Linked DNA regions of Sus scrofa. The protein of the gene in region 1 purifies or fractionates together with the protein of each later gene. This does not show direct contact. Links are inferred from orthologs where the notes say so. Each region holds a gene or a part of one and is shown in the gene's direction. Other genes may lie near its edges.

The links.
Region 2: the proteins of LIN37 (region 1) and E2F4 purify together in Homo sapiens (co-immunoprecipitation; 4 studies listed by BioGRID and IntAct, with this or other methods). This does not show direct contact. The link is inferred for Sus scrofa from reciprocal best matches to the Homo sapiens genes LIN37 and E2F4.
Region 3: the proteins of LIN37 (region 1) and RBL2 purify together in Homo sapiens (affinity purification with western blotting; 5 studies listed by BioGRID and IntAct, with this or other methods). This does not show direct contact. The link is inferred for Sus scrofa from reciprocal best matches to the Homo sapiens genes LIN37 and RBL2.
Region 4: the proteins of LIN37 (region 1) and TFDP1 purify together in Homo sapiens (co-immunoprecipitation; 3 studies listed by BioGRID and IntAct, with this or other methods). This does not show direct contact. The link is inferred for Sus scrofa from reciprocal best matches to the Homo sapiens genes LIN37 and TFDP1.
Region 5: the proteins of LIN37 (region 1) and LIN52 purify together in Homo sapiens (affinity purification with mass spectrometry; 6 studies listed by BioGRID and IntAct, counting the BioPlex papers as one, with this or other methods). This does not show direct contact. The link is inferred for Sus scrofa from reciprocal best matches to the Homo sapiens genes LIN37 and LIN52.

Annotation. Positions count from the first base shown.
Region 1 is NC_010448.4:45,177,605-45,183,688, forward strand, and holds the end of LIN37 (protein lin-37 homolog), read left to right. Parts: intron 1-1,703; coding exon 1,704-1,779; intron 1,780-1,960; coding exon 1,961-2,011; intron 2,012-2,298; coding exon 2,299-2,328; coding exon of another isoform or gene 2,329-2,404; coding exon 2,405-2,490; intron 2,491-2,575; coding exon 2,576-2,742; intron 2,743-3,267; coding exon 3,268-3,408; intron 3,409-3,496; coding exon 3,497-3,570; intron 3,571-3,654; coding exon 3,655-3,736; 3' UTR 3,737-3,779; downstream 3,780-6,084. Other genes in the region: HSPB6 (heat shock protein beta-6), read right to left, coding at 4,770-4,940, 5,050-5,172.
Region 2 is NC_010448.4:27,836,426-27,841,408, forward strand, and holds part of E2F4 (transcription factor E2F4), read left to right. Parts: intron 1-60; coding exon 61-122; intron 123-332; coding exon 333-630; intron 631-1,127; coding exon 1,128-1,328; intron 1,329-3,681; coding exon 3,682-3,729; intron 3,730-3,938; coding exon 3,939-3,983; intron 3,984-4,080; coding exon 4,081-4,196; 3' UTR 4,197-4,983. UniProt on the Homo sapiens protein: Transcription activator that binds DNA cooperatively with DP proteins through the E2 recognition site, 5'-TTTC[CG]CGC-3' found in the promoter region of a number of genes whose products are involved in cell cycle regulation or in DNA replication.
Region 3 is NC_010448.4:31,766,118-31,772,318, reverse strand, and holds part of RBL2 (retinoblastoma-like protein 2), read left to right. Parts: intron 1-2,713; coding exon 2,714-2,983; intron 2,984-3,127; coding exon 3,128-3,408; intron 3,409-3,495; coding exon 3,496-3,672; intron 3,673-6,201. UniProt on the Homo sapiens protein: Key regulator of entry into cell division. Directly involved in heterochromatin formation by maintaining overall chromatin structure and, in particular, that of constitutive heterochromatin by stabilizing histone methylation.
Region 4 is NC_010453.5:78,752,412-78,759,316, forward strand, and holds the start of TFDP1 (transcription factor Dp-1), read left to right. Parts: upstream 1-3,110; 5' UTR 3,111-3,246; intron 3,247-4,033; 5' UTR 4,034-4,096; coding exon of another isoform or gene 4,097-4,108; 5' UTR 4,109-6,905. UniProt on the Homo sapiens protein: Can stimulate E2F-dependent transcription.
Region 5 is NC_010449.5:97,391,037-97,397,237, forward strand, and holds part of LIN52 (protein lin-52 homolog), read left to right. Parts: intron 1-129; coding exon 130-167; intron 168-1,774; coding exon 1,775-1,841; intron 1,842-4,091; coding exon 4,092-4,175; intron 4,176-6,201.

The DNA of each region.
Region 1 (6,084 bases):
CAGTGATGAGGCCCAGGGAGGGACTGAGGGACAGTGGGGATACTCCTGAGATGGGGGTCCAGGAAAAGGGGTGAGTTTAGAGAGACACTGAGGCCAGTGTGGGACCCAGTAGGTGGAAGGAGCCTGGGGGAAGTCCACAGGGAGGGGTCCAGGAGGCCATGGGGTCCCAAGGTCTGAGGTTCAGGAGGGAAGCAGGGACTAGGGAAAGAGATGAGGGCATGATCCAAACCTTGGCTCCTACCCAAGGCTCTTTGCTAGAATATCAGCTGCTTCCAGCCCCTCATCCCCTCCATCTCTCCTCTGAGTAACGTCTCCTGGGCTCTTTAGGAAGTCTCGGGGCTGGTAAAGCATGTCCCCAAGTGTCCTTCCAAGCTCTGAGCACTGGGCCAGCGCTCCTACTAGTTGGAAGAGGAGAGCAAACACCCCTCAGGAGCAAGGGGAGGATATTTACAGCATCGTCACCTCCTTAAGTTCTTTGATAATGAGAGGCAGACCCACAGGCTGGTAAGGCCAGGCAGGGCCTGTGGCCTGCAGGCAGGTGGGCCCGGATCTCATTTCCCTGGGAGGAAAAAGCCAAAAATGGGTATTTTAGATGAGAACTCCCATTTATTAAATGTAGTCATTGCATTCAGATTTAACTCAGACTTAAAATAACACCAATACCTCAAACACATTTGAGGAGTAGATTCTGCAGCAGTTTGAGCCCCTGCCTTATAACTTCGGTTGTGGAGCCAGATGACCTAGTGCAAATCCCCAGCCTTGCAATGTCCCAGCTGGGTAACTTTGGGCAAGTAACTTAACATCTCTGTGCCTCAGTTTCATCTATAAAATGGGGGTAAAAATCATATCTGCCCACCAGGGTCATTGTGAAAACTCAGTGGGTTAATATGCATGAGGTGCTTGGAACAGTGTTTGGCACGTAACAAACCCTCTGTGTTATTATTATTATTATTATTATTGTCTTTTCTATGGTTGCTCCCATGGCATATGGAGGTTCCCAGGCTAGGGGTCGAATCGGAGCTGTAGCTGCCGGCCTACGCCAGAGCCACAGCAACGCAGGATCCGAGCCACATCTGTGACCTACACCACAGCTCATGGCAACGCCGGATCCTTAACCCACTGAGCAAGGCCAGGGATAGAACCCATAACCTCATGCTTCCTAGTCGGATTAGTTTCCCGTGTGCAGGAACTCCCCAAACACTCTATGTTATTACTTTTTTTTTTTCACCAAATCCACAGCCCGTGGAAGTTCCCAAGCCAGGGATGGAACCTGTGCCACAGTAGTTGCCACCTGTGCCACAGCTGCAGCAACACCAGATCCTTAACCCACTGAGCCACAAGAGGACTTCCATATGTTGTTACTTTTTATTAATGCATCCTGCTAAGAGAGTCATATAGAGCATGGGTTTATTGAAATCTCAGAACAGTCCGAGCAGATAGGTATCACTCAGAGACCCATTTTCAAGATGAGGAAACAGGCTCCTTGAGGTAAGGTGATTTACCTTAGGTCACACATGAGCATGTGGGTCAGCCCTGGAACCCAGAGCTGTTGCTTATCATTCAGTAGTCCCTGCTTGCTGTGTCCTCCCAGTCTGCCCGGGCCTGGCCCAAAGATTAGATATGCATACCCTTCCCTGGCCCAGGTGGCTGCCCAGCTGCCTTGGGCCAGGGGAGTGACTCCTGCTTGGTCCCTTCTTCCTCAGAGCTGGAGATGGCCAAGGCCCGGAACCAGCTGGATGCTGTTCTGCAGTGTCTTCTGGAGAAGAGTCACATGGACAGGTTGGGATCTGGCTGTGCATGGGGTCATGGGGTTGGGGGCCCTGGCAGGTTGGACCCCCTGGCCCTGGATGGGACTCCAGAGGCTGGCTTAGGGAGGAAGGGAACGAATGGGTGAGATCACTGGGGGCCTGCCCACTCTGAGCCGTTGGAACCCTGAACCCACATTTCTCTCTGCTACCAGGGAGCGTCTGGATGAGGAGGCCAGGAAGACCCCTTCAGACGCCCACAACAAGTGAGTTTTATTGATGGGATCTGCCACTGAGGGTTTGTGGTGTGTAACTTTCCTCATCTGAGCCTGACCCCCCTGCCTCATGCTTCGCCTGTCACCGTCCTACAAGTACAAAGGCCCTGGGGCAGCGGAAGCTCAGGTCCCCTCTCGATGGCACCTTGAGCCTTAGGGGATGAGACCCAAGGCCTAAGGGGTTGGGGCCCATGTCAGCTTGATCACCCTTTGGGTGCCCTTTGGGCGGTTTCGAGCAGACAAGGGTGAGCCTGCTGACACCCTGTCTCTTCCCACAGGGACTGCTCCATCGCGGCCACTGGCAAACGGTAAGGGGGCAGGGGCCCAGCCAGCTGAGAGGCCCCCAGACCCTGCCCTGGTCCTGATATTCTCCCTCCCACACAGGCCATCCGCCCGATTCCCCCACCAGAGGAGGAAGAAGAGGAGGGAGATGGATGATGGGCTAGCCGAGGGTGGGCCACAGCGATCCAGTGAGTAGGTGGTGGCCCTAGGGGCGGGGCAGGGACAGGCGGCTTTGTGAGGACCCTCACACGCCTCCTGCTCTCACCACCCCAGATGCATACGTGATCAAGCTGTTTGATCGGAGCGTGGACTTGGCTCAGTTCAGTGAGAACACACCTCTGTACCCGATCTGCCGAGCCTGGATGCGCAACAGCCCCTCCGTGCGCGAGCGGGAACGCTCCCCCAGCTCACCGCTGCCCCCGCTGCCTGAGGATGAGGAGGTGGGATGGGCGGTGGGCTCCCTCCCTGCTGGTAGGATCAGTAAGCACAGGTCTCTGTGTCCCTCAAGTGACCCCCGGATCCAGTGAGGCTCACGGATACGAACCTTTAGGCCAAGGAAATGATTGGAGCGCTCTGGAGCAGACAGATGTGGCTGTCTGGCCTGGGAGGGAGCGGAGACAGGGTCAGGCAGATAGATGTGAACTCCAGGATCAGGGACCTCCAAGGGCTAGGGGATGGGGCAGGGGTCTTCAGTGCAAATAGCTGTAACCACTTGACCTAAGGAAGCAGATGGGGACCCCTTGGGCTGGGTAGGGTAAATGAAGGTCTCTATGCTGGGCACTGGGGGTCCCTGGGTTGGACAGGAGACAACAGGGATCCTTGGAGCAGCAGACCGGATGCCTAAGTACAGGTCCCTGGTGAGACTCTCATGTCTTTTGCCACTGCAACAGGCACAAGGTGTGGAATGTGTGTCCCTGCCCCTCTTTGACTCTCTTGGGCATGGCGTGGGGCCCTTGTATCCCCAGGGTTCAGAGGTCACCAACAGCAAGAGTCGAGACGTGTATAAGCTGCCTCCACCCACAGCTCCTGGGCCACCTGGAGACACCTGCAGATCCCGAATTCCATCCCCGCTCCAGCCTGAGACCCAGGGTGCCCCTGATGACGAGGTGGGTGTGCAAGGCTGGCCCCGGAGCGATGGGGCCTATGTAGTGGGGCTGGGCATGGATGCCCAGCCTGGCCTCTCTGTCCATGCAGCCCTCCGAGCCTGAGCCCTCACCCTCCACTCTCATCTACCGAAACATGCAGCGCTGGAAACGCATCCGCCAGAGGTGAGCAGCCCCCAGCGTGCATGATCCCTGTGGCCTCTACTCCAACTGCTGAGCCCTCCCTCTGTCTTCCCACCCCCGCCACAGGTGGAAGGAGGCATCCCATCGGAACCAGCTTCGTTACTCGGAAAGCATGAAGATCCTACGGGAGATGTACGAGCGACAGTGATGTTCCCTTGTCCCCCCACCTCAATAAACATTCCCCTGCCCCATACTGGCCTCCACTTGCTCCAGCCCATCCTTCCTGGCCCAGACAGAAAGCCGTTGGCACAGCTCCAGCACATTTATTGGGGGAGTGGGCCTGGGTGAGGGGATGGGGGCGTCAAGAAACTCAAGGAGGGAGAAAGATTGTGGAGCGCCAAAGAAAATGGCTGCTGCTTTGGATCTTGGAGAATAAGGGGGAGGGGTGTGGAAAGTGGATTGCCTGGGATTATGTGGTTGGAGACTTGAGGGACAAGACAGGGGGGGTTCTGGTTAGAGCTGGAGATGGGAGCCTAGGATATCTGTGCAGCATCTGGGGAGATGGGGTAGGTATCTGTACAGTTTGAGGCTGAGGGTCCTGGTTGGCCTAGAATAGGGGATTAGAAAAAGGGTTCAAGAGTCTGGGGGTAGCTGGCTGAGGTTTCAAGTTAGAAGATGGCTGAGGGGAGAGGGTGAGGGGTACTGGAGTAGCTGCTTGGAATGAGGGGAAGGATCCAGAGGTTGTGGACCAGGCCAGGATGGTTGAGGGTGGGAGGTCTGTGCATAGTCTGGGACCTTTGAGGGGAAGCAGGGATTATGCATGTTTTGCCTAGGTTTAGGGTGGGGGCAGGGCTGTCTCCACCAAAATCTTGGCGCGTGGATTGAAACGGGGTGTGGAGATGTTTGCCTAGAGGAGTCAGAAGGAAATAGGGTGTCTGGAGTGGGGTTTTATGCCAAGTGGGGTCCTTGGGGATGGGAGACCAGGCTGAGGGACAGTGCTTTGTAGGGTCTGGAAACTAGAGAAGTGTCTGGAGGTTTGTAAGCTGGAGAGGGTGTAGGAGCCCGGAGTGTCAGTGTAAAGGCCTGGGTTATCAGGACTGAGTCTAGGTTGGAAGGGTCAAGGCAGATCCCAGGTGGGGTGGGCGGATAGTCTTGGCGCGCGCCGGGGGACATCTGGCTGGGCGGAGTCAGGTCGGCTTTAAAAGGCGGGGCCTGAGGCGGCTCCCAGGGTTCTCTGACCCCTACTTGGCAGCAGCCGGTGGCGACGGCAATGGACCTTGGGCCGGCGCAGGTGCTGCCTGGATGGACAGGACGCCTTCAGGGGACAGAGCGGACGTCACGGCCGCCGGGTCGACACCAGGCGGCAAGCGGTAGCGGCGGTGGAACTCGCGCGCGATGTATCCGTGCTCATCCTGGAGAGAGAAGCTTGAGAGGCTCCGCCCCTTCCCTGTAGATGCCCCGCCCCTTCGGCCTATGATTCCCGCCTGCACGTTCTGATCCCGCCCCCGCCAGCGGGCTCACCGGGCGCTCCTCGTGGCGCGCATGCACCTCCACATGTTCGCCAACCACCTTGACGGCGATTTCCTCCGGCGAGAAGTGCTTCACATCCAGCAGCACCGAGAAATGCCCGGGATCGGTTGGCACCTGCGCACAGCCCCATTGTCATCGAGAGGGGCGGGGCTCTCGGGACCCCGCAAGGCCCCGCCCCCCTGGCTTCTGACTCTGTTCTGGTGCTGCAGCTGATTCTGGCCTCCGGAACTGCGGGGTCCCCTTTCCTAGGCGGTAGCCACCGAAGACCTCTTCATCCAGAGTAACTGGAATCATCCTTCCCCTTGTAGTAGCTGGGCTTCCCTCTCACCCAGAGGGATGAGGCCCCCTTCCCCCGCAAGATCAGGCACCTCCGCCCTCACGGGGTGAGGCCCGCCCTCTCCCTTAGTGTCAACAACCCCGTAGTCGGCGTGTCCTTCTGGACACTGACTCCTCAGCCCCCTTACCCAGAGCCCCTGGGGCCCTTACTGCCCCACCCGCCCCCAGAAATCGCCAAGATGCCTCCTCCCCCAGTCACCAGTGTTCTCTTTCTACCCTCCCACTCGAGTCACGGGATTGCTTGAGCCCTCAGCAATTACTAGTACTCCTCCCCCACTTCTGAGTGGCCAGACCCCTCTTTCTCAAGTCACTGGACCTTCCCTACCCTCTGCTTCTCCAGGAGACCTACACAGTCACCACACAGTTTGAAGATTCTTTTCCCCGAGAATAACAACACATTCCCTTCCCTCGGGAGTCCCTGGGAGCCCCACGCTCTTCGGAATAACTGGGCTCCCCCTTTTTTCCCAGATTGCCTGGGTCAGCAGCATCCTTCGGCGTCACCAGAACTCCCCTCAGCGAGACGGCCCCACCCTATTAGTGACCCAGCCCTTCCACTCCTCTCGGAGCCGAGACCTTCCTCAGACTGACGCAGACCTCCCACCCCTTTCAGTAATCCGACCTCTGAGAATCCATACTCCAGAAGCCCCTCTGAATGGTCGGACTCTCCACCCTGCTCAAAGTCTGGGGACA
Region 2 (4,983 bases), about 17 Mb from region 1:
ACCCCCTTCTCAGCTCAGATTGAGCCGGTGGATCTTGACCCATCCTCCTTGTCATTCCAGGAGACACCCTCCTGGCCATCCGGGCCCCATCAGGCACCAGCCTGGAGGTGCCCATCCCAGAGGTGGGTGCTCAGCACAGTCAGGCGGGGTGGATTGAGGGCGGGTGCTGGCTGCAGAGCCCGATAAGTCCCGGGTGGGGTCGGTAGGGGGAGGCCTGGGGTTTGAGGTTATCTAGGAGAACGGCAACCTGGGGTGGGAGAGGACACTGGCTCAGCAGGAGCCAAGCCTGCTTCCAGTTCCATCTCTCCTCCATCCCGCACCCCCACCTCCAGGGCCTCAATGGGCAGAAGAAATACCAGATTCACCTGAAGAGTGTAAGTGGTCCCATCGAGGTGCTGCTGGTGAACAAGGAGGCATGGAGCTCACCACCCGTGGCGGTGCCTGTGCCGCCACCTGAAGATCTGCTCCAGAGCCCACCTGCTGTCTCTACCCCTCCCCCTCTGCCCAAGCCTGCCCTGGCCCAGCCCCAGGATGCCTCACGGCCAAGCAGTCCCCAGGTGACCACCTCGACCCCTTCCTCCGGCAGCACTGAGGCCCAGGGGGTGGCCGGTCCAGCAGCTGAGATCACAGGTGAGGCACATGGGTAGTTGGTGACAGGGTGATTTCTGGGGCCCTGGAGGCAATACCTCTGTGTGACAGAATGTCCTTCTAGATTGGAGGAGACTCTGGGGCAGGTTGTCTCTCCCTGCCCTCACCCCACGCACTGGCCTCTCCTCACTAGTGCTGCGAATGAACCCTTTATAACAGGGAAGTTCTGACTATGCGAAAGGGCATTAGTGCTGGCAGTTTCCCCCCAGATCTGCCAACGTCTCACTTGACCTGGCATCCCCTCTTGAAGTGTGATCACAGTGGCCATGTCCATGAGTCTCCTTCCTGCAGGACTCACGCCTCTGTCTTCTTCAGTGAGATTTTTGATGTTACTTTCCTGGGAGTGGTTGGCAGTGCCTAATTCTCCTTGGGCCCAGGAACCAGGGCTATAGTCATCTTGGCTGTGGGTTCTAGAACAGCCAGCTTCGATATCCTGCTTCCTGTTCCCAAGTGACTGGGTTTGGGGTGTGTGGTTGCAGTGAGTGGTGGCCCTGGAACTGATAGCAAGGACAGTGGTGAGCTGGGCTCCCTCCCACTGGGCCCGACAGCGCTGGATACCCGGCCGCTGCAGTCCTCTGCCCTGTTGGACAGCAGCAGCAGCAGCAGCAGCAGCAATAGCAGTTCATCCGGACCCAACCCTTCTACCTCCTTTGAGCCCATCAAGGCAGACCCCACAGGCGGTGAGTACTTGTCCCCTTGGGAGCAGGGAGAACCCAGCCTCAGACAGTCCTAGGTCAGAAACAGAACTGGGCCTGGAACGCAGCTCTCCTAACTCCTCAGCCAAAGCTGGCTGGCCCCACAGCCAACCCCCTGCCATCCACCAGAACTCTGCCAGCCAGAGCGCCCCTCTGCCCGCTTCCTGGGCTGACCCAGAACGCCCTGGCCCTCCCCAAGCCCTGTCTACCACCTCCAGGACTCAGGACAGCGTGAGCACTCTCCTGGGGAAAGGGCTGCAATGTGGCCTCAGGCCCCACAGGTGGGCAGTGTCTTCTTCAGAATGGGAATGCCATCTGCCTGGTGTCTCCTTTCCATCTTGTGACTTGAGTGCTTTTTCCAGGACTCATTCCCCTTAGGCCCACAAGCACCACTAAGTCTCCCTCATTAAATGACACAGTGTCTGTCCCCTGTGTCCCCCTCTCTTATCTTCCCTGTATCCTCTCTGTCTGGACTTCCTGAAAAAGTTATCTCCACTCTGTCCCATATCCAGGTCCCCCAGTCAGCTGGAGGATGCAGCAGTCAGGACCCCCACCCCCCCTGCCACGCCAGTGCTGCTAGTCCTGATGGCCAGTGCTGGCGGGTTTTGGGGCTGATTTGCTCTGGTGCTCTCTTGCTCTGTCTTGATGTGCCTTTTCGCCTTTGCCATTTATGATGTCAGCTCTTGGTTCTTGGCTCCTAACTGGCTTCTTCTTGTAACTTCTCTCTGGCATTCCTTTAAATCTGGCTTCTCAGAGTCCATCCCTCTGGAAGGCCCCAGTTCTGAGTAGATGGATTCCCAGCATCTGTGTATAGGTTTCTTGCCTAAAAACTTTACTTCCTGTGTCCACGTGCCTTCCTGTGCACAGCCGACAGGCACCTCACTCCCATGTGTGCTCAGCCGAAACTCGCTTTTCTTTTCCTTTTTTTTTTAATACTGATTTTTATTTTTTCCATTATAGCTGATTGGGAGTGTTCTCTCAGTTTTCTACTGTGCAGCAAGGTGACCCAGTCACTCTTAGATGTATACATTCTTTTTTCTCACATTGTCATGCTCCATCATAAGTGACCAGACATAGTTCCCAGTGCCATACAGCAGGATCTCATTGCTTATCCGTTCCAAAGGCAATAGTTTGCATCTGTTAACCCCAAATTCCCAGTCCATTCCACTCCCTCCCCCTCCCCCTTGGCAACCACAAGTCTGTTCTCCAAGTCCGTGAATTTCTTTTCTGTGGAAAAATTTCATTTGTACTGCTCATTAGATTCCAGATATATGATATCGTATGGTATTTGTCTTTCTGACTTACTTCACTTAGTATGCATCTCTAGTTCCATCCATGTTGCTGCAAATGGTATTATTTTGTTCTTTTTGATGGCTGAGTAGTATTCCATTGTGTATAAGTACCATGTCTTCTTAATCCAATCATCTGTCGATGGACATTTGGGTTGTTTCCATGTCTTGGCTGATGTGAATAGAGCTGCAATGAACCGAAACTTGCTTTTCCACCTCTGTGCGTACTCGACCATTGGCTCTAGCCACCCAGGCCTGACACTTGGGTGTCACCTCAACTCTGTCTCCTCCTCTGTCCTTCTCTTTCCCCCCATCCCACATCAGCTAATGAGTTTTCTCCCAGACACCCCCATTGATGGCCTCCTGTATCCTCAGCATTCAGGATCACTGCAGCCACCGCTCTCCTAAGTCCCTCAGCATCATTTTTACTCCAACAAGGATCTGTCACAAACAGCTTGACTGCGGTGTTTCTTTGTTACAAAAGTACCTTTAACAGCTTCCTAAGGTCTGGTGGATAAAACCAGAGCCCTTAAACTGGCATGTGAAATCCAGCTCCAGCGCTTCTTTCCCGTTTCCCATGTGCATCCTCCTGGTCAGACCTTTGGAGCCATGTTGTCACCCTGTAGCACTGTCCCCTTTTGAAGAGCACCTTCTCCTTTGCCAGATGTGGCCTGGGGTGTGGTCTCTGAGCCCGGCACCAAAGAGGTGCTTATTAGCCAGGTCAGGGTGGACAGGTTATCTTCCCTCAGACAGAGTGTCCTCCGTCAGCCGGGGTGTGCACACTGAGCCCAGAAAGGGAGAGGATGTACTGCCTTTCAGCAGAACTGCGGAGTTGGAAGGGGCAGTGCCAGCTGCCTCCCCTGGGCCTTTGGCACCCTGGGCTCGGCACTGAGGAATTACAGTCTGGGGGGACCAGCTTGGCCTGGTGCAAGACCTATGTCTGAGCTGTGTGGACCCCCAGGTGGGTGGTGTGGAATCTGGGGAAGCGGGGGCTAGAGTGGGACCTGGCTGGCCCTCTGTGCTTTGAGAGTGGCTTTCTTGTCTTTCAGTCCTGGAACTCCCCAAAGAGCTGTCAGAAATCTTTGATCCCACGCGAGGTAGGGCTGTGTTCCTCCCTGGGGCTGGGGTGAGGGGTACAGCTCATTGGGTCTTAGGGCTCTTTTCTTGCCCTTCTGAGGACCTTATGCTTGTGTTTGGTACCTGGGCAAAGGGTAACGTTCCTGATGGCTGGGTGGTCCCCTTCATGGGCTTTGGCGGGTGGAGAGGTGGGAGCCAGGATGTAACTGCGCTCTCCCTCCACCCCCAGAGTGCATGAACTCAGAGCTCTTGGAGGAGCTGATGTCCTCAGAAGGTAGGTGCCCAGGAAGGTGGGGGTGAGTGTGGGCAGGGTTTGGGTGGCTCCTGAGTGGGATCTTGGCTCTGGGGCCTCAGCCTGTCCCTCTCCGCAGTGTTTGCACCCCTCCTCCGCCTTTCTCCACCCCCTGGAGACCACGATTACATCTACAACCTGGACGAGAGTGAAGGTGTCTGTGACCTCTTTGATGTGCCTGTTCTCAACCTCTGACTGACAAGGGCATGCCCTTTGTGGCTGGGACACAGACTGTCTGACCTGGGGGCTGCCTGGGGACCTCCCCGACCCCATCCCTACACAGCTTGAGAGCCGCAGACTCCTGGCTTCCCCAGACTTCCCTCACTGCACAGTTCTGGCCACAAGTCCTACTCCTGCACCAACACCTGTACGGTGCTGGCAGAGCAGGGGTAAGGGGCTTAGCCCACTCCACGTGGAGCCAAAGTGTTTGCCTCTCCTGTTTTGGAGCCTTCCCCTACCTAGTACCCTCCCTGGGCCCTCCCAGAGTTGAGGCTCAGCTGCCACCCAGTGGCACAGAACCGAGGACCCTCCATCACCCTCATAGGGCAGCTTGTCCAGCCCCACTGTCCGGTACCTGTCAGCCCCTGTCCCCTCCAGGAGGAAGCATGGGGTACTTGCCAGCACCACCCAGCCTCCTTCGCTTCTGCCCACACGCAGTCATACAGCTCTCCTGGTCCTCTCGTGTGCCCCCTTCTGCTGGGCCCCTGGCCCTGAGGACCTGTAGGTGGTGGTAGGGCTGCCAACAGGAAGGAGCAGAGAGCTCTAGCTGGGAATCTGGGCGAGTGAGTCCCTGAGGATTGGCCGAATCTCCGTCTGCCCCCAGCCACCCTCTTGTTTATTCATTTACCCTGTTAGAGCCATTTGCAGAGATTTAGAAAGATTTGCAGTAACAAATGGATTCCTATATAAAGATTATTTTTATACTTTTTGCAGCAAAAGGAAATTGTAATATTTGTACAGTGTCCAAGTGAATAAAGACCGT
Region 3 (6,201 bases), about 13 Mb from region 1:
TTCCTGGCCTTGCTCGGTGGGTTAAGGATCTGGTGTTGCTTTGAGCTATGGTGTAGGAAACAGATGTGGCTCAGATCTGGCATTGCTGTGGCTGTAGTGTAGGCTGGCAGCTGCAGCTCTGATTTGACCCTTAGCCTGGGAACTTTCATATGCCTTGGGTGCAGCCCTAAAAAGAAAAAAAACCCCAAAAACTGCATGTCTGTAAATCCAGAGAGTTCTAAATCCTTGGATCCCATTAGAAGGAAGCAAATTCTTGTTTCTAGATCAACTAATGGAGTTCCTGGGCCAGGCAGCAGAGCCAAGCCACAGTTGCAGCCTACGTAGCAGCTGCAGCAACACCAGATCCTTTAACCCACTGTGCTGCTCCAGGGATTGAACCTGCATTGTGGTGCTGCAGAGACACTGCCCATCCCATTGCACCACAGTGAGAACTCCCAGATGAACTTTAAAAAATTGATAAGCACTGGCTATAGAAGAAAGATCAGTTTTTTTTTGTTTTGTTTTGTTTTTTTTTTTGTTTTTTTGTCTTTTTGCCATATTCTTGGGCCACTCTCGCAACATATGGAGGTTCCCAGGCTAGGGGTCGAATCAGAGCTGTAGCCACCAGCCTACACCACAGCTACAGCAACGCGGGATCTGAGCCGAGTCTGCAACCTACACCATAGCTCACGGCAACGCTGGATCCTTAACCCCCTGAGCAAGGCCAGGGATCGAACCCGCAACCTCATGGTTCCTAGTCAGATTCGTTAACCACTGAGCCACGACGGGAACTCCCCAAGATCAGTTTTAAAATTAGGAATCACTCTGTGTCAGTGCATACTCAGAATATGGATGATCTATGTGAAAACTTACTCATTTTTGAAAGAGGAGGCATAGTGGCTTAATGGCTCAACTGCTTTTCTGCTTTTTATCCACTCAGACCCATAGATCTGATAACTGGTCTTCCTCAACTCTATTTCTGTAGAGTTTTTCCTTCCCTAATCTATGGATTAGGACTTGACTTTAAACTTCATTTTTTTGCACTTATCACGTCTCCATTTTGATGAAGTCTTTTAATATTTTATGAGATAATGTCAATGTATTCTAACTGCAGCTTTGTTTCAAATATAAATCTAGTAAATTTATTTGCTTTTGTATCATCACGAAATTCAAATGTTAGCCCACAGACTGTCAGAACTATTCCTATCAATCCTCTGGACTTCCTTATGTATTTTAGTATTTAAAACCCACTGATGTGCAATTTTTACAGCTAGACATGGGAGAGGGAAAGGAATGCTTCTTAACAATTAACGTTGGTGTGAATGTGTACTGTGGTGTTAAGTACAATAGACTAAGCTATAATGGTTAACAGTTTCTGTTTGGGATGTTGAAAAACTTTTAGAAATAAATGGAGATTGTATAACATTATGAATCTAATGCACCTCAATTGTACACTTAAAAAGGGTAAAATGGTTAACTGTATGATATATATATATAAATAAAATTTATTATTTATATTAATTTTAATATAAATTTTAATAAAATTTTATATATATATATTTTTTTACTAAAATTTAAAAAATCTACCAGGGAGTTCCTGTCGTGGCTCAGTGGTAACAAACCCAACTAGAATCCATGAGGATGCAGGTTTGATCCCTGGCCTTGCTCAGTGGGTTTAAGGATCCAGTGCTGTAGGTCACAGATGCGGCTCAAGATCCCGTGTTGCTATGGCTGTGATGTAGGCTGGCAGCTGCAGCTCCAATTCGACCTCAACCCTGGCAACTTCCATATGCTGTGGGTATAGCACTAAAAAGCAACAACAAAAAAAACCAGCTAATAGTATAATATACCCCAAACCATTGAATTGTATAAATGTGTGAAATATGTGATTCATCTCAATAAAGTTGTTTAAAAAAGTACGTTAATTGAATCCAAAACATCTATGTCCATTTTTACTGAAGAACGTTATTGAATTTTAGTAATTTTCTATATATGAAAAGTGACAAAGATGAAAATGCATAAAATGGGGTAAGTGCTTCCAGATGATACCTTAGTAATATCAAGTTCATCAAGTCTTCTTATCAGGTATGGCTTTACAGTGAAATCACATCTCACATGAGTGTTAGGTAGAAATTGAATATGATAGGAAAATAGAAAATTATTTAAATTACCCTTGAATCATCAAGGCCCTGTGGTATTGGAGAGCAAGGTCCAGGTAGATTTAGCAGAAGGAGGAGTCAAGAAGGAGCACTGTGAGACAGAGAAAAATTCTTCATTATGATTTTGCCCAGGGAGTTCCTGTTGTGGCTCAGTGGAAGCGAATCTGATTAGTATCTATGAGGACACAGGTTCAGTCCCTGGCCTCGATTAGTGGGTTATTGGTGTTGCCGTGAGCTATGGTGTAGGTCACAGATATGGCTTGGATCTGGCATTGCTGTGGCCGTAGCGTAGGCCAGAGGCTACAGCTTCAATTTGACTCCTAGCCTAGGAACCTCCATATGCCACGGGTGAAGCCCTAAAAGTACAAAAATAAAGTAAAATAAAATAAAAATAAAATTTTGCACAATAGTATTTAGTTGCATTTTCATTCATTGAATGTAGCTATGATGTGACTCCTATAATTTTATGAATTATAGTATTTCAAACACTTAACTATTTTTGAACATAACAGCTTGGATGGAAGTTAGATCTGTCTCCTTGAGTTAAATAGTTTTTTTTCTGTTTTTGATCCTAGGCATAACATCTCCAACCACATTATATGATAGGTACAGCTCTCCAACAGCCAGCTCTACCAGAAGGCGGTTATTTGTTGAGAATGATAGCCCCACTGATGGAGGGACCCCTGGGCGCCTTCCCCCACAGCCTCTCGTCAATACTGTCCCTGTGCAGAATGTATCTGGAGAAGCAGTTTCTGTCACACCAGTTCCTGGACAGACTTTGGTCACCATGGCAACAGCCACTGTCACAGCCAACAATGGACAAACAGTGACCATTCCTGTACAAGGTAAGGAAGTCAATACTGGATATTGAGTTCTTTCTCTGTGGCATTTATTAGAAAGTTACCTGAGATTTGGTTGGAATAATATGAGAACAGAGGTTTGAGAAGGGAAAAATTTTCTTTGTGTTTTCTTTTTTTTTCAAACTTTAGGCATTGCCAATGAAAATGGAGGAATAACATTCTTTCCAGTGCAAGTCAATGTTGGAGGGCAGGCGCAAGCTGTGACTGGCTCCATCCAGCCCCTCAGTGCTCAGGCCCTGGCTGGAAGTTTAAGCTCTCAACAGGTGACAGGAACAGCCTTGCAAGTCCCTGGTCAGGTGGCCATTCAACAGATTTCCCCAGGTGGACAACAGCAGAAACAAGGCCTGCCTTTAACCAGCAGCAGTGTAAGACCCAGGAAGACAAGCTCTTTATCGCTTTTCTTTAGAAAGGTAATTTTTCACATACCCTTACCAGGATAAGAGCTTGGGAAATATAAGGGTTACATAAAGTTTGAGATGTTTTTGTTTATCTACTAGGTTTACCACTTAGCAGGTGTCCGCCTCCGAGATCTTTGTGCTAAACTGGATATTTCAGATGAACTGAGGAAAAAAATCTGGACCTGCTTTGAATTCTCCATAATTCAGTGTCCTGAACTTATGATGGACAGACATCTGGACCAGTTGTTAATGTGTGCCATTTATGTGATGGCAAAAGTGAGTACCATTAGGAAAGGAAAAAGGAAATATGCTACTTAACAGCTTTATTGAGATAAAATTCACATACCATATAATTCACACATTTAAAATGTACAGTCCAGTGGATTTTAGTATATTTATACATGTGTGACTGTCACCACAGTTTTAGAACATAATACTCCATTATATGAATATATGATATTCATTCATCAGTTGATGGACATTTAGATTATTTCCTCTCTGGGGCTGTTATAAATAATGCTGCTATGAACATCTGTGTACAAGTTTCTCCATGGAAGTCTTCATTTATATTTTGTATATAACTAGGAGCAGATTGCTGGGTCATATGGTAAATTGTGTTTAACTATATGAGGAACTACCAGACTGTTTTCCAAAATCACTGCACCATTTTACATTTCCACTGGAATTGTCTGAAGGTCCTGATTTCTCCACATTCTCACCAATACATTTTATTATGTGAGTTTGTTTTTTAATATAATTTATTGAGGCGAAACTCACATAACATTCCCCATTTTAAAAACAAACAGCTTAAATTTTAAAACTGGTAACTTTTCTTTTTTAGGTTTGTTTGGCTAGGCTAAATCCCTTGAAATTCTTTGACTTGTAGAATCGTCTTGTCGATTCTGACATCATGTCACAAAGAAATCAGGTGGAGTTCTGTTGAATCTGAAGGTCAATTTGGAGTATTGCTATCTTACCCATATTTCACCTTCTTATCAATGAACACAGAATATTTCCCATTTATTTAGGTTCTCCTTAAAAAAATTTTTTTTTTTTGTCTTTTGTCTTTTTAGGGCCGCACCTGTGGAATGTGGAGGTTCCCAGGCTAGGGGTCTAATCAGAGCTGTTGCTGCCCGCCTACGCCAGAGCCACAGCAACGCCAGATCCAAGCCACATCTGCGACCTACACCACAGCTCATGGCAACGCCAGATCCTTAACCCACTGATCAAGGCCAGAGTTCGAAACCACAACCTCATGGTTCCTAGTCGGATTCGTTTCCACTGCACCACGACGGGAACTCCAGTTCTCTTTAATTTCTTTCAGCAATATTTTACAGTTTTCAAGTATAACTTTTATACTTTTTTGTTAACTTTATTCTTATTTTGATGCTATTATAAATGCAGTTTCATTTTTGATGTATTCATTGCAAGTATATAGAAATACAATTGATTTTTGTATGTTCATCTCATATCCCACAACCCTGCTGCATTCACTTTTAGTTCTGGGTTAGTAGATTCCTTAGGATTTTCTGTGTACAAGATTTTTTTTTTTTTTTTTGCTTTTTTTGCTTTAAAGGCTGCACCTTGTAGCATATGGAGGCTAGGGGTCAGATCGGAGCTGCAGCTTCCGGCCTACGCCACGCCCACTGCAACACCAGATTCGAGCCACATCTGCGACCTACACCACAGCTTGCAGCAATACCTTGTCCCACTGGATACTAGTCAGGTTCATGACTGCTGAGCCACAATGGACTCCTGTAATAAGATTATGTGATCTGCTTATAGAAATAGTTTTACTTCTTCCTGTTCATACTGAATGCCTTTTTTTTTTTTTTTTTTTTCTTTCCTAATTACTCCGACTAGATCTCTGGTAAAGTTGAATAGAAATGTTGAGAGCAGAAGTTCTTGCCTTGTTCCTTAAGAGGAAAGCATATAGACTTTCACCATTAAAGTATGATACTAGCTATTTTTTTTTTAAGGACACTTTTATCAGGTTGAGAAGGTTCTCTTTCTAGTTTGTTAAGCATTTATTATGAAAGGGTATTGGAAATGATCTTTTTGCATCTGTTTAGATAGTTGTGGGTTTTGTTTTTTATTGTTGATAGTGTATTAGATGATTTTTCACACATCAAACTAACCTTGCATTCCTGGTGTAAATCCCAATTGATCGTGGTATACAATTCTTTTTCTATGTTAGTAGGTTCAGTTTGCTTGTATTCTATAGATGAATTTTGTCCTATTCATAAGAATAATTTGTAGTTTTCTTGTTATGGCTTTGGTTTTATTATCAGGGTAACATTGGACTCATTTAATGCCTTAAGGAAGTATTTCTTCCTCTTCTATTTTTTCTAAGAGTTTGTGAAGAATTTGGTAGAATGTTAAATATTTGGTAGAATTCAGCAGTGAAGCCATTTGGGGCTATGCTTTTCACTGTGGGTAGTTTATTGATGATTCTTTTTCTTGTTGTAAGTCTATTCAGATTGTTTCTTCTAGAATCAGTTTTTGTAGTGTGTCTTCCTGGGAATTTGTCTCTTTCCTCTGGGCTTTCTAATTTGTTGGCACACAGTTGTTCATAATACTCCTTTTTGTTATATTTTTTAGGGCTGCACTTCCAGCATGTTGGCGTTCCCAGGCTGGGGGTCTAATTGGAACTGCAGCTGCTGGCCTCTGCTACAGCCACAACCATGCATCTGAATCTTGTCTGTGACCTACACTGCATGTCACAGCAATGCCAGATCCTTAACCCACCTATTAGGGCCAGGAATTGAACCTGTGTTCTCATGGATGCTAGTAAGATTTAGCACT
Region 4 (6,905 bases), on another chromosome or scaffold:
CTGTGGCTTCAGCCTGTAAGTAGTCATGTGAGTCCTTAAGATTGACTAATCCTGGAGTCCTGTGGCTCAGCAGCTTAAGGATTTGTGTTGTCACCGCAGTGGCTCGGGTTGCGGCTGTGGTGTGGGTTCAATCCCCTGCCTGGCAATTTCTGCATCCTGCCCATGTTGCCAAAAAAAAAAAAAAAAAAAAGAAAGAAAAAAAGATTGATTAATACCAAGATAAGAGCATTATGCTGCGGGAAGTTCAAGGATTCACCCTCCTTCCAAGAGGGGACTTTGCTTTGGCCAGAAATGTTCCCAACCAGGAGTGATGATGTAAGGACGTGCGAGAGAGAAACACACGAGGTCTTCGTGAGTTTGGGGTGCGAATGTGGCTCAGGAGGGCGGCCTCTTTGGCCAGAGGAGCGGGGGCTCGTCCCAAGGTTTGGACAAGGAGCCGATTTCCTTATGTTTTATCACACACACGAACAAGCCAAAAAATCTTGCTGAAGATGCCTTTATTGGAGTTCCCATCATGGCTCAGTGGTAACGAACCCGACTAGTGTCCACGAGGACGCCGGTTCAATCCCTGGCCTCGCTCAGTGGGTTAAGGACCCGGTGTTGCCATGAGCTGTGGTGTAGGTCACAGACCCGGCTCAGATCCCGCATTGCTGTGGCTGTGGTGTAGGCCAGCAGCTGCAGCTCCACCTCCAATTTGACCCTTAGCCTGGAACTTCCATATGCTGCAGGTGGGGCCCTGAAAAAAAAGGAGCAAAAATGCTTTTATTGATATTTGTCCAAAGGATGAGAAAATGTCACTTCCCCACATGCAGAACCCCCTCTAAGTCCCACAAACCTCTCCCCTCCCTGCCTCCCCACCTCTTGTCATCATCGCTGCGGTGGAAAACAGAAAATGGCTGGATATGGGTTCGATTCCTCTCCTTGCTCACTGGGTTAAGGATCCGGCGTTGCCTGTGGTGTAGGCCAGCAGCTGCAGCTCAGATTCGACGCCTTGCCCAGGAACTTCCATGTGCTGCAGGTGTGACCATTAAAAAAAAAAAAAAAAAAAAAAAAGTAAGGAAAACGTTCTCTCTTTAAAGGTGAGTTTAATGGGGGCAGATGAGGCTTTGCATCACACTGTGAGACTCACAGAGCAGGCACATAAAAAAATGGGGTTTTGAGAGAGGAGGTGTTTTCCTGGGAAGGACCGGTCACTTCTTTCTAATAAAACACGGAACAGAACCATTTTCCTGTGGTATCCTGGACGGCCCAGGGACCGTGCAGCCTGTGGGAGGAGCAAGTCTACACCCAGTGGAAGCACCACTAAAAGCCATGCTTCCTGAACCCGCCCGGAGGGGAGGCTGGACACTTGCAATGGTGCAGTAACTCCTGGGAGTGCAGAATGTTTCAGTAGTGGTTTTTGTGCAGGCATTATTTTGAATATGAGAAGGACTTATCCTGTGTAAATACTGTTGAATTACTGGAATCTTGAGTCTGTAGAGAGACGTCTACGATTGGTCCTTACTTCCCGTTTCTTCCTAACTCTGACCCCCTGCCCTCACCCAGAGGCTCACTGCCCTGAGCACTTAGGCCTGAGGGCTGGGCGCCCCTTCCGCCTGCCATCCGCGGGGTGAATATTCACATTCAGTAAAAACAAAGGGTATCTGTGAAAGAGCTGTGAGGTTGGGAACACATCAGCACTTGAGGAACAGGACGGGGGACCGCAGGATCTGGCACTGGGGACCCTGCTGCCCAGTGGGACGCTGTGCACACTGTACCACCGGGAAGCAAGGTGTTGCGCCTGCGGGCAGGGCAGGTAGGTCCGTCCTCTGAAGCCTCTTATTTACCCTCTTCCTCCTGGATCCCGGTTTCTCTGAGTGCCGCGTACTGAAGAGAAAGAACGCGAATATCTCTGCTCCCTTCAAGAAACCAGCGCTAAGGTGTGAACAGTCTTAGGCCGGGAGGGGCTTTACTGGAGAAGCAGAGTGGGCGTGATCAGCATAAAAGCGGTTAAATTGGGAAACCGTCCGCGGCCGGGTGGAAACCTGCAAGATGAGAGGCCTTTGCTCTGTGCTCATGAACTTCGGACTTGACTCCCAGGCCCCTCCCGACCTCCGCAGCGTCTCTGGAACCAGAGCCCATGCCCTCTGGGGCCTTGGTGCTTGCGGGGGCGCCCAGAGGGGACGAGTCTCCGAGGCTCAGCGTCCACTAGGTCCAGCCCACCCAGTGATGAGGAGCCAACTCTCCTGCACTGAGAATGCTCTGAGGCTGGCTGGAGGCTGGGCGTGGGCACGGAGGCCGCTGGCAGCTCAGAACAGGAGCAGCAGGTGGACAGGGCTCTCTGCGCTGTGGGTGCACACGGCCCTCGCCTCGGTGCAACTACACACGCACACGCCTGGCCTCCTCTCCTTGCGCACCTACACATGCACCCGCCCCTACACGCCCATGGGCACCCAACCTCTCTTATTCTCGAATACGTATACACACTGTGCACACACTCGCCCCCCCATGTGCGCACTTCTGTACGTGCATACGCACACACTCAACCCATTCTCCGTGTGCACACCCATGAATGCATCTCTAGCCCCTGGGTACGCGCGCGCACATACACACACTTGCACACTGGCTCCAGACCTCTGTGCATACACACTCACCTGCACACTTTGCCCCTGTTCCTCATGTGCCCACACGTGTATACACACTCCTACCCCCCATTCCCCGGATGCACACACACCCGTGTACATGCACAGGTGCACACCTCCTCAGCTTCTGTCCCCCTCCCCAGGTGCTTATATACGCACGTGCACCCCTAGTCCCTGTCCGCCGCGTGCGCACACGTGCGCATATCCCCGGCCCAGCTCCCCCGCGTGCGCAACACCGCGCCCCGGGGGCTGGGACCTCCTCTCCATCTTTGCTCGGCGCGCGCACACACACGCGCGCACATGCGGACGCGCGCAGGCGCAGCCCAGCCCCCCGGAGCGCGAGCGCGGGCCGCGGAGCGGGAGGAGGAGGAGGAGGAGGAGGAGGAGGAGGAGGAGGAGGGAGCCGAAGGCGCGAAAAGGCGCGCAGGCGCGCTGCGGGAGCCGGGCCGCCGCCCACGTCACCGCGCCGCGCACGTCACGCCGCCCGACGCTCGCAGGGTGAGCCCCGCGCCCCGGCGCCTCGGCAGGGCAGGGACCCCGGCCGAGCGCCGCCGGGACCGCCCGCTCTTCCGCGCCCGCCCGCGTGTGCGCGCCGCTGTCCGCGCGCCGACCTCCCGCCCGCCAGGTGCGGCGGGCCGGGGTCCCGGAGGGGCGCACGCGCCGGGCGCCTGCGGACCCCGACCGACCCCCGCCCCCGCGCGCCGCGTGCGCCGACCGGTCCCCGCGCGCCAGGGCCGCCGCGTGGGCGCCCAGGTGACCGGCCCGGCGGGGTCGCGGGCCAGGGTCCCCGTCGGGGCCTGCAGGGGCCTCCGGGCGGAGCAGCGCGCGCATCGGCGTCTGCGCCCGGCGGGGGTTGGGGCGGGCCGAGTCCGAGCGCACGGGGTCCGGGGTGCGGGGTGCGGGGGCCCGGCGGCGCCGACCCCACCTGCCCGCCGACTGCCGGTTCCGGGGCGTGGGGGGCGCTCGCGGGAGGCCGCCGCGGCCTAGTGACAGGCTGGAGGCCGGGACCCCGGAAGCCCACCTGTCAGAGTTACGGGTCGGCTGGTGGTCGCGGGTGGGCCGGGGCGCCCGTGGGGAGCGCGTGTGCGCAGAGACTGGGGCTGCGCCGGGTGGGAACGCGGGCCGCCAGTGCGGGCTCGGCCTCGCTGCTGGCTCTTTGTGCGCGTCTGGGGAGGCCGGCGGGCATTCTGGTGGCGGACGAGCTTCCATTCCTGAGATGACTTTAAAATCCCCAGCGTGGGGGCTGTTTCTGCGGCCCCGCTCCGAGGGTGGAGTGTGGGCATGGAGAGGAAGGCGCCGCTCCCCTGAGCCGCGGTGGGGATGGTGGTGGTGCTGGGGGGAAACGCTGAGGTTTGTGAACTTCTTATTTCATCCTTATTCACTCCTTGCTTTTCCTTTCTTCTTTTTACCAGAAAAGTCATTTTTCTTCTCTGGAGGGTGAACAACTATAGCATCGATTTCACGGATCTGGTAACATGGCAAAAGATGTAAGTATGTTTGCTTCCTGCTGGACGCATGTTTGCCTACTGATACATTCTTGGTAGTTTCCCGATTTTGTTTCAGAATGACAGCACACAACATTCAGGAGCGTTTATGTTCAGACTCTTAAAGCACATGAAACACGCTAAAGGTGAGGAACCCAGAGGAGCCCCGGTGGCCTTTATGGAGGGTACTTTGCAGGCCTGAGCCCCCAGGGGGGCCAATGCCCGATGGGGCTTGACTGACCCGATCTGTGGGTCTCTTCTGACTGGTTAACTTGGAAATCTGAGTGCCTTGGTGGGGGACCCTGGGCAGGCGCTGGACTCGGTGGAATGGCGCTGAGCATCCTCTGCAGGTACCGTGTAGGATGTTACTTCAGCTTTGAGCCGTAACAGGCTAAGCACTGGGTTTGGCAGCCTTTTTTCTCAGAAAAAGTGGCACTTGGTGCCTAGTGAAGTGGGGTGCAAAAATTCTACTTTAGCTTTATATTTGTCGGGGAGCTATAGAATTTGATGAGTTAGTTTTTTTCTCTTGTTTTAAGAAGTAGGCTTTTCGGCCCCAAGATTTCGGCTTTTATCATTTGGGCAGCTCTTTCGATCCTGGGTGACATCCGTGAAATTCACTGAAACCCCGGCTCCTCCTTTAGCGTGTCTCAGGACGTGCTGTTCCGTAAACATTAATGAAAAGAGGCAGTTTATTTATTTACTCGTGTGTTGCGTGGAGGTGGAAATGCAGCTCTGAGGACGTGCATCTGCCTGAGACACAGCCGGAGGGTAAAGCACGTCCCTGTTGGTGGCGCCAGGAAACGGGCATGATGCCTCCGTCACCTCGCGGGTTTGAACCTTCTGCAGGGCGCCTGTCGGAAGGCACCCCACCCGCTGGGCCTTAGGCTGTGGGCCCCCGCGCCAGTTAGTTTGGCAGAGCGGGTGAACACGGGGCTAGTGTGGTGGGTTTGAGCTTAAAACCAGAGTCTGTGTGTGATGTGCAGGTGGTGTTACCTTCTAATCGTCAGTGGCCAGGCCCAGTTCTCTGCCACTGTCGCCCGGAAGACGCAGGACGGGAGCTGGTGCTCAGCAGGGGTGCAGCTGCCCCCATGCCTCCCATCGTGGGTGGAGGTGGGGAGCTGAGTTTGCCTCTCGTCCTGTCTGAACCCCCTGGAGGAGGCGTCCTCTCCCTCCCCCTGGGCATCCGGGGGATGGGAAGACAGTCCAGGCCCGTGCCTGGTTCCAGGAGACTCCTGAGCGGCCTCCTCCGAAGGTCACTCCTGGAGGTCAGCCCAGCGAAGGCTGGGTCGCTGTGGGCCACCTGGTGGCTGGGTGGGGGTGATGGGGACCACCCGTTGAGCTTGGGTACGTGACACAGTGGAGGTTGGTGTCGCGGTGAGAACAGCCAGGTAAGAAGCAGTGGCTTTGCCTGTCCTGGGTTGGGGTCGGCAGGTGTGCTGGAACCGGGTCTCTCCAGGGCTGTGCTTGGCGGGACAGAGGCTGCGGGCCGCTCAGGCTCAGCCCCGTCTCCCCCTGCGCTGGGTCTTAGGTCAGGTGTGACATTGGAATCTGGGAAGCTGACCATTGTCGGGGGGTAGGGGGCAGGCATAGGAGGCTCACTCTGCCCTTGGGGGTAAGGTCAAAGCCTGCAAGCACCTCGCACAGCCTCTGGCTGAAGCGGGTGGGCTGGGACCCCAGCTGGGCCATTGGGCCCAGGGAGGCTGGCGTTAGGTTCGGGGGAGGCGGGGGGTCCCAGTGGAGGCGGACAAACTCGGGGACTGATGGGGGCAGCCAGCCTGCAGAGGCCCGGGGAGGGTGGCGATTGAGGGCCGTCCTGCTGGTGGTCAGTTCCCCGAGAAGACCCAGAGCTTTCCTCCAGCAGTCGTAGGCCCGCCTGGGCTCCGGATCCAGCGCGGCCAGGCCCGCCCAGCCTGTGCACATCTGCTCGCTCTGGGTCTGCAGGAGGTGACGGTGTCCTTGGCGGGGGTGCCCGTTCTCTGCGTGGCCCTTGAGTGTTGTGTTTACGGGTTGACGTTCGGCCACACCAGGCTTTTCCTGACCGGCTCTGGGTTGTCCATCTAGCAGGACGCGAACCGCTGAGAAAGTTCAAGTAGCGGGTCTTGTATCAGGAGCGTCGTGTTTATTGTCCCCGGGTCTGAAAGCTCCAGGGAAGGAAGAAGGAGAACCACAGCCCCCGTTGGCCGCGGCAGGAGTCGCTGCGGCATCGCGGTTCATCCCAGTTGGACTCTCACTCGGTCGAGTGTAGGGACGGCCTCTCACGAAGCCGCGGGCGTCTGGGCTCCTTGCTCCTCACTCATCTTCACGTCACGGACACGTAGGCCTTCCTCTGGGTGTCGATGCTGCCACGGCCCCCTTGGCAGCTGTGGGTTCATTGGATGCGTTGGGACTGGGGATGTGACGTATTGAAAGAGCGGGTTAACGGGGGGGGGCGAAGAATGACTGCTCCTCGCTTGTCTTTGAAACGTCGAACGCACGGAGCGCGGGGGCCCTTTCTTGGCGCGCGGACCGAGAGCTCCGGGCTCTGAGTGCAGCCCTCTGGGCTGCTTGCCGCTTCGTCTTCTCCTCGCCCATGTAAGCGCCACGAGGGGGTGGTGAGACGGGGACCCAGCCGAGTGCCGGCCTGACAACACGGGCCATCTGGGAGGCCGGCAGGGGAGCTGTGCAGCCCGGCAGATCCCCTCCGGTGTGTCCGTCCCCAGGCCCTAGCACTGGGGATTCTGGTGGTTTCCGGTAAAATCTTCTCAGAGTTTCTCAAATCCATGATGCTACCCCAGGACCAGTCGTCAGAGGTGTGGCTTCG
Region 5 (6,201 bases), on another chromosome or scaffold:
GATATCCTCTCTCTTTTCTTCCAGATTATAAACTCCTTGAAGACAAAGCTGTTTTGTCATTTGAATCCTCTGTGTTAGGGACACTAAAATGTTTATCGAGTGACTAATGTTGTGTTTTTTTCTTTTTAGTACCAGGTGTTGCTGAATTTGCAGCTTCTTTCAAAAGTGTAAGTAGTATCTTACTTACCTAATGAAGTTTTACCAACATTTTGCTCCTGGGTAAAATATCAAATAGCTCTTATTTTTTTATATTCAAGAATAATGTCTTAGCCTTCAAAATTATTTTGTAACTACAGCCCCTGAAATCTGTTTATATTATCATCATGCTAATGATGTTCTATTTTGGTATTTTGACCTTTGACTATTAGCCTCTTCTCTCAGCTTATGAGATTTTAAGGTAAAGCTATTGAAATTTTTAATGTAATGCCAGTATTCTTGTTGCCCAAACTGTGATTTTTGAAGCCTTTCTCTTTTGCTTATGTGATGCATTATGACCTTAACTTATACCTCCCTAGAGGATTTTGAAATTTCTCAGTGGCTTGTCAGAGACCAAAGGAAGGCATTTTTAAAGCCATAGCTTTTCCACTTCCCGGGCAGCAGGCATTATGCTAGATGTATATTCCTAGAATACCTCCTGTATATTCTTGGAAAATATGGAAAGCAGGAAAATATGATGATTATAATATTAGTCAGCATATACATAATGTGTACTATAAGCTATATACTTTACATACATTATTTAATCTTCACAAAACCGTATGAGCTATAGGTACTATTATTATCCCTATTTTACAGAGAAGGAAATAGACATAAAGAGGTTAAGTAGGTTACTCAAGATTATAGGCTACAAATGGCAAAACCAGGCTTTGAACCTCTTAGTCTACTTACTAGCGTCTATGCTCATTATACCATATTTAGAGGCATTTGTACCTAAAGTTAAAAGCACTGACTGGCAGAGAAACTTTTTTTTGTTGTTGTCTTTTTGCCATTTCTTGGGCCGCTCCCATGGCATATAGGGGTTCCCAGGCTAGGGGTCCAATCAGAGCTGTAGCCGCCGGCCTCCGCCAGAGCCACGGCAACGAGGGATCCGAGCTGCGTCTGTGACCTATAGCACAGCTCAGGGCAACGCTGGATCCTTAACCCACTGAGCAAGGCCAGGGATGGAACCTGCAACCTCATGGTTCCTAGTCGGATTTGTTAACCACTGAGCCACGACGGGAACTCCTCAAATAATTTCTTTCATGGCTCTACTTACCTATTTTTCGTACACTAGTAACAGTATTCAGACCTAAATCTTTCAAGATCATTACTTTAAAACCAGCTTTTAAAGATCAGTAGTATTATTTTGTAAGGGTTCTATTTGTAGGTCAGAGCTGAATCTGGAGAAATCTGGTTCTTTGAAATTATAACTTGCTGGTATTTTCAAACAACCTGAGGACTGTGTGACAACCTCCTTTTCTTACAAGAAAGAAGAGTAGAGAGTTTCCGTCGTGGTGCAGTGGAAATGAATCCGACTATTATCCGTGAAAATGCAGGTTCAATCCCTGGCCTTGCTCATTGGATTAAGGATCCGGTGTTGCCACGAGCTGTGATGTAGGTTGGATCCTGTGTTGCTCTGGTGTAGGCTGGCAGCTGTAGCTCTGATCTGACCCCTAGCCTGGGACTTCCACATACCAGGGTACGGCCCTAAAAAGCAAAAAAAAAAAAAAGAAGGAAAAGTAGGATCTCTATACATTGCACATGTCTGAATAGATGTATTCTTATTTTCTGACAGCCCATTACTAGCTCCCCACCCAAATGGATGGCTGAAATAGAACGCGATGACATTGACATGTTGAAAGGTAAGCAAAGCTGGTGACCTCTAACCTTCAACCTGACTTTTATGCTCCTGTGCAAACCACCTTTCCAGTTTTTCTTTCACGATTCCCTTACAAGTATTTTTGGCTTCAAATTGCCTATTTAACCATCCTTATTCATGGTTCTTCATATCTAAATGCCTTTCTCTACTTTTCCATGTGTAGAAATAATTCAAGACCCAACCATACTGATTTTTTCTGCTGCTAAATTCCTTTAATGTTAATTTTATTTTGTATAATACTTAGCGTTGGAGTTCCCATCTTGGCTCAGTGGAAACAAATCCAACTAGGAACCATGAAGTTGTGGGTTCGATCCCCAGCCTCGCTCAGTGTGTTAAGGATCTGGCATTGCTGTGAGCTGTGGTGTAGATCACAGATTCATATCGGATCCTGCGTTGCTGTGGCAGAGGCCTGCAGCTGCAGCTCCGATTCAACCCTAGCCTGGGAACCTCCATATGCCTCGAGTGTGGCCCTAAAAAGAAAAAAAAAAAGAAAAAATTAACGTTAACTATAAGCTCTCACATAAAATTTCTTATTTAATTCTCATAAAGACCCTGTGAGTTAGATATGATGTCTAAGGTTCAGAAGTTAACCAAGCTTTATTATAGAAAGAGTTAAAATTTAAACTCTGAACTTTTTTTTTTTTTGGTCTCTTTGTGTTTTCCAGGGCCGCACCAGCAGCATATGGAAGTTCCCAGGCTAGGGGTCTAATCAGAGCTGTAGCCGCCGGCCTCCGCCAGAGCCACAGCAGTGCCAGATCTGAGCCGCGTCTGCAGCCTATACCACAGCTTACGGCAACGCCGGATCCTTAACGCTCTGAGTGAGGCCAGGGTAGAACCTGCAACCTCATGGTTCCTAGTCGGATTCGTTAACCACTGAACCACGATGGGAACTCCTAAACTCGGATCTTTTAAAGCTAGTCTCTTACTGTTATAATGCAAGTGCCTTATTTAGGATTTGCTGTCATATATTGTTATGAGTACTATTAATTGACAACCCCTTAGTGGGTTAAGACCTGTCTTTTAGTTCTTTCTATCTCATCAATTTCTCCCATAGAGAATACTGTAAGTAGTGAATATCATTGTTTGATAAATGGCTTGGGACTAAATCACAAAGTAGAAATTTAAATTAAAAAACATTAATTTTCCTTGATTTTGCTCTACTTTACTTAATTTTTTTTATCATCCTCGTAGTGATAAGATTCATGATGGTTGTGAAGTAATAGAATGAAATTGAGGTAAAAAATCTGGGGTTCTTAAGCTATTTAAGCAGCTGAACAGATTCACAAAGTCTACTTATGCCAGATATAGATAATAAGTATGGCATGATGAGTGAGAGAAAATAACACCTTTATTTGACTTCAGAAATAATTCATTGTTCTGCATGAAATGCTTAAAAGCAGAGCCCTTCCTCCATCTGGAAAAATTAAGTCTCAAGGGCATCTTGGGTTCATTGTTCTAATGTTCCAAACAGACATTTATATAATATTCCATCAACATGTATTTTCTAAGGAAGCTTTAAAGTTTGATAAGGGATCAGAGCATTCTGTTTCATGCAAGTTCATGTATGTCCTAAACTTAAAAGGAATTAAGTTCTGTTTAAATGAAAATCTGGGAAGATAAAATTTTAAGTTTACTGTCTTTTTATCTGGTAAAATTAAAAATTTTTTTATGGGAATTTGATTTGAAGGTAAAATTTGGATTAATATTTAGCCTGTTTTCTAAACCTGGAGAAATAGGAAAGAATAAGTGTTTTATTGTCACTTGGAGTAATGTGGACTTATAAATGACAGCTGAGATAGTGTCCTTTTTGTGAGACAGAGATCTGTCTGTTTGCTGTCTCAATGCTATGTCAGATCACAAGTTTTCAAATTTTAACCATATATTCATTTTGTATGATACGCAAAATGAATGTTACAAAAAGATCCTCAGGATAAAACATGTAATTTGTTGTTGTGTTTACGTTAATTCTCTTCTCATTAAGTGGGTAAGCTTATCTGAGGCATTTTGCAGTGGTGGAAAAATTCACTGATTTGATTTGTGCGTTTTTGTGTGTGTGCACGTCTGTGCTGGGGGTAGTGGTGATGTGATTTGTTGAGAAGAGATATGGATCCATTTTCTACTTATTTCATAGGAATTAAGCTTGAAATTTTTATAACAAGGATTTGCAACCCGCATGCGTTGTTACTAGAAGCAGTGGAAAGAAATGGTATTGAAATAAATGATTCTGTTTCAGAACTGGGGAGCCTCACCACAGCTAATTTGATGGAGAAGGTACGAGGCCTTCAGAACCTAGCCTATCAGTTGGGGCTGGATGAGTGTGAGTACCCAGATCCATTTATTCAGGGTTGCATGTTGTATATTTAATGATGAGCTCTGGTGTAATTCAGAAAGTAACTTTAGTATCTTTATTAGATGTTCTCAAGGTAAGAAGCCACTATAATCTAAAGTGTGCCTTTTATAGTAGAGTGTCAAAGTAATTACAGAGTTTACTAGATTACAAGTTATTGTTCTTTGTATAGTGAAAGCATATTGGTAACTCTTAGTTTTAAGCGATAGAATGTCAAATCAAACAATCTTAAGCAAAAGAAGGATTTTATTCACATAAATCAAAATTCTAGGGGTAGAAATAGCTTTGAGTATATCTAGATTCATGACTCTTAGTGAAGTCTTTGGAATATGCCCTCATTCTTAGTTTTAGTTTGCTATCTTAAAGCTCTGCTTCACTCATGCATTAATATTATTCTTTGATCTAGCACCAGGGAAGGTAACCAGCAGGAACACCAGCTCTTATGTCTTTAAATCTCATAATCCTAAAAGAAAGAACATCTTTTCTGCACATGGCAAAGAAAGGTCTTGGGGAGGACCCTGACTGTTCCATCTTGACTCACATACCTATCTTGGAACCAGTCCTTTAGCCAAGCAGCATGGAGCACTGGGATGGGCCAGGCCTGGGGCCTGGGTGTGGATGCAGATTGGAATGGTTATTCAGACTCAAATCACATGGAGTGTGATTGTGGAGGATTGGTTCCTCAAAGGAAGGTTCATGTAGTAGACCAGGAACGTAATCTGCTAGTATGAGTGATGCTTTTAAAGTTCTCATCTATTCCTAACTGTTCTCCATTCTTTTAGTTTAAAATTATTTCTTGGGAGTTCCCACTGTGGCTCAGCAAGTTAAAAACCCAACTAGCATCCATGAGGATGTGAATTTCCCTGGCCTCGCTCAGTGGGTTAAGGATCTGGCATTGGTGTGAGCTGTGATACAGGCCAGCAGCTGCAGCTCTGATTCAAACCCTAGCCTGGGAACTTCCATATGCCCCAGGTGCAGCCCTAAAAAGCAAAAATAAAATAAAATAATTTCTTTATAAACTATATATCTTTCCATACTATATTCATTATAAAATTGGAAGAGGAATTGTACCAAATTTTCACTTTGTAATTGAAAGAAATACTTAGCATAAATACAGTGCTTAGAACTTTGTTCTCAAGGGGTAGGTACCTCCTGAGACCTTCATAAAGCCACAATTTTTTTTTAAGTACTTAATGAATTTTATTACATTTATAGTTGTACAACAATCATCACAGCCAAATTTTACAGCATTTCCATCCCAAACCCTCAGTGCATTCCCCCACCCCCCAACCTGTCTCATTTGGAAACCATAAGTTTTTCAAAGTCTGTGAGTCAGTGTCTGTTCTGCAAAGAAGTTCATTATGTCCTCATAAAGCCAAAATTTTGAGGGATTACTGTAGCTTATGATTTTTTTTTTCAGAAATGCAAGTTTTGCCCTGATTAGTGGTCTCAACAAAAGTTTCATAAATTGTCTTTATTTATAGAGTATATAGTGAATTTGTTCACATCATTGATTTTACTGCCAAATTCAATATTTTACTTTAAAATTTAGTTTAAAATTTCTGATTTTTGACTCATAATCAACACTTCCTTAGTCCTCTTTATGTTTTCTTTATTTCCATTTCTGTCATTAGCAGTCAATGTTCTCGTACCAAAAATTTTTGTTCATTCATCACTTCATGAATCAAGGAGCAGAGAACCACAGACTGCTTTGAGATATGTTTGCTGAGTAGTCTGCTAGGTTTACTCATTGTTTCCTAACTCCCCTGTGTATTAGTTATTTATTTCTCATGATTGAAGTTTATGTCCTAGCAAAAGTACTAATTACTATGTATGTCATGGACCTTAAGGGTCTATATTGAAAGCCCTGTGATTATTAAATTTGTGAATGTGAGGCTTGTACAGTATAGAACTTGATTGTGTTTCTAGCTCTGGACAATACATGCTGTAATGATCATAATACTCAGTCTTTTATCTCTCTGCCAATTTTTCTTAT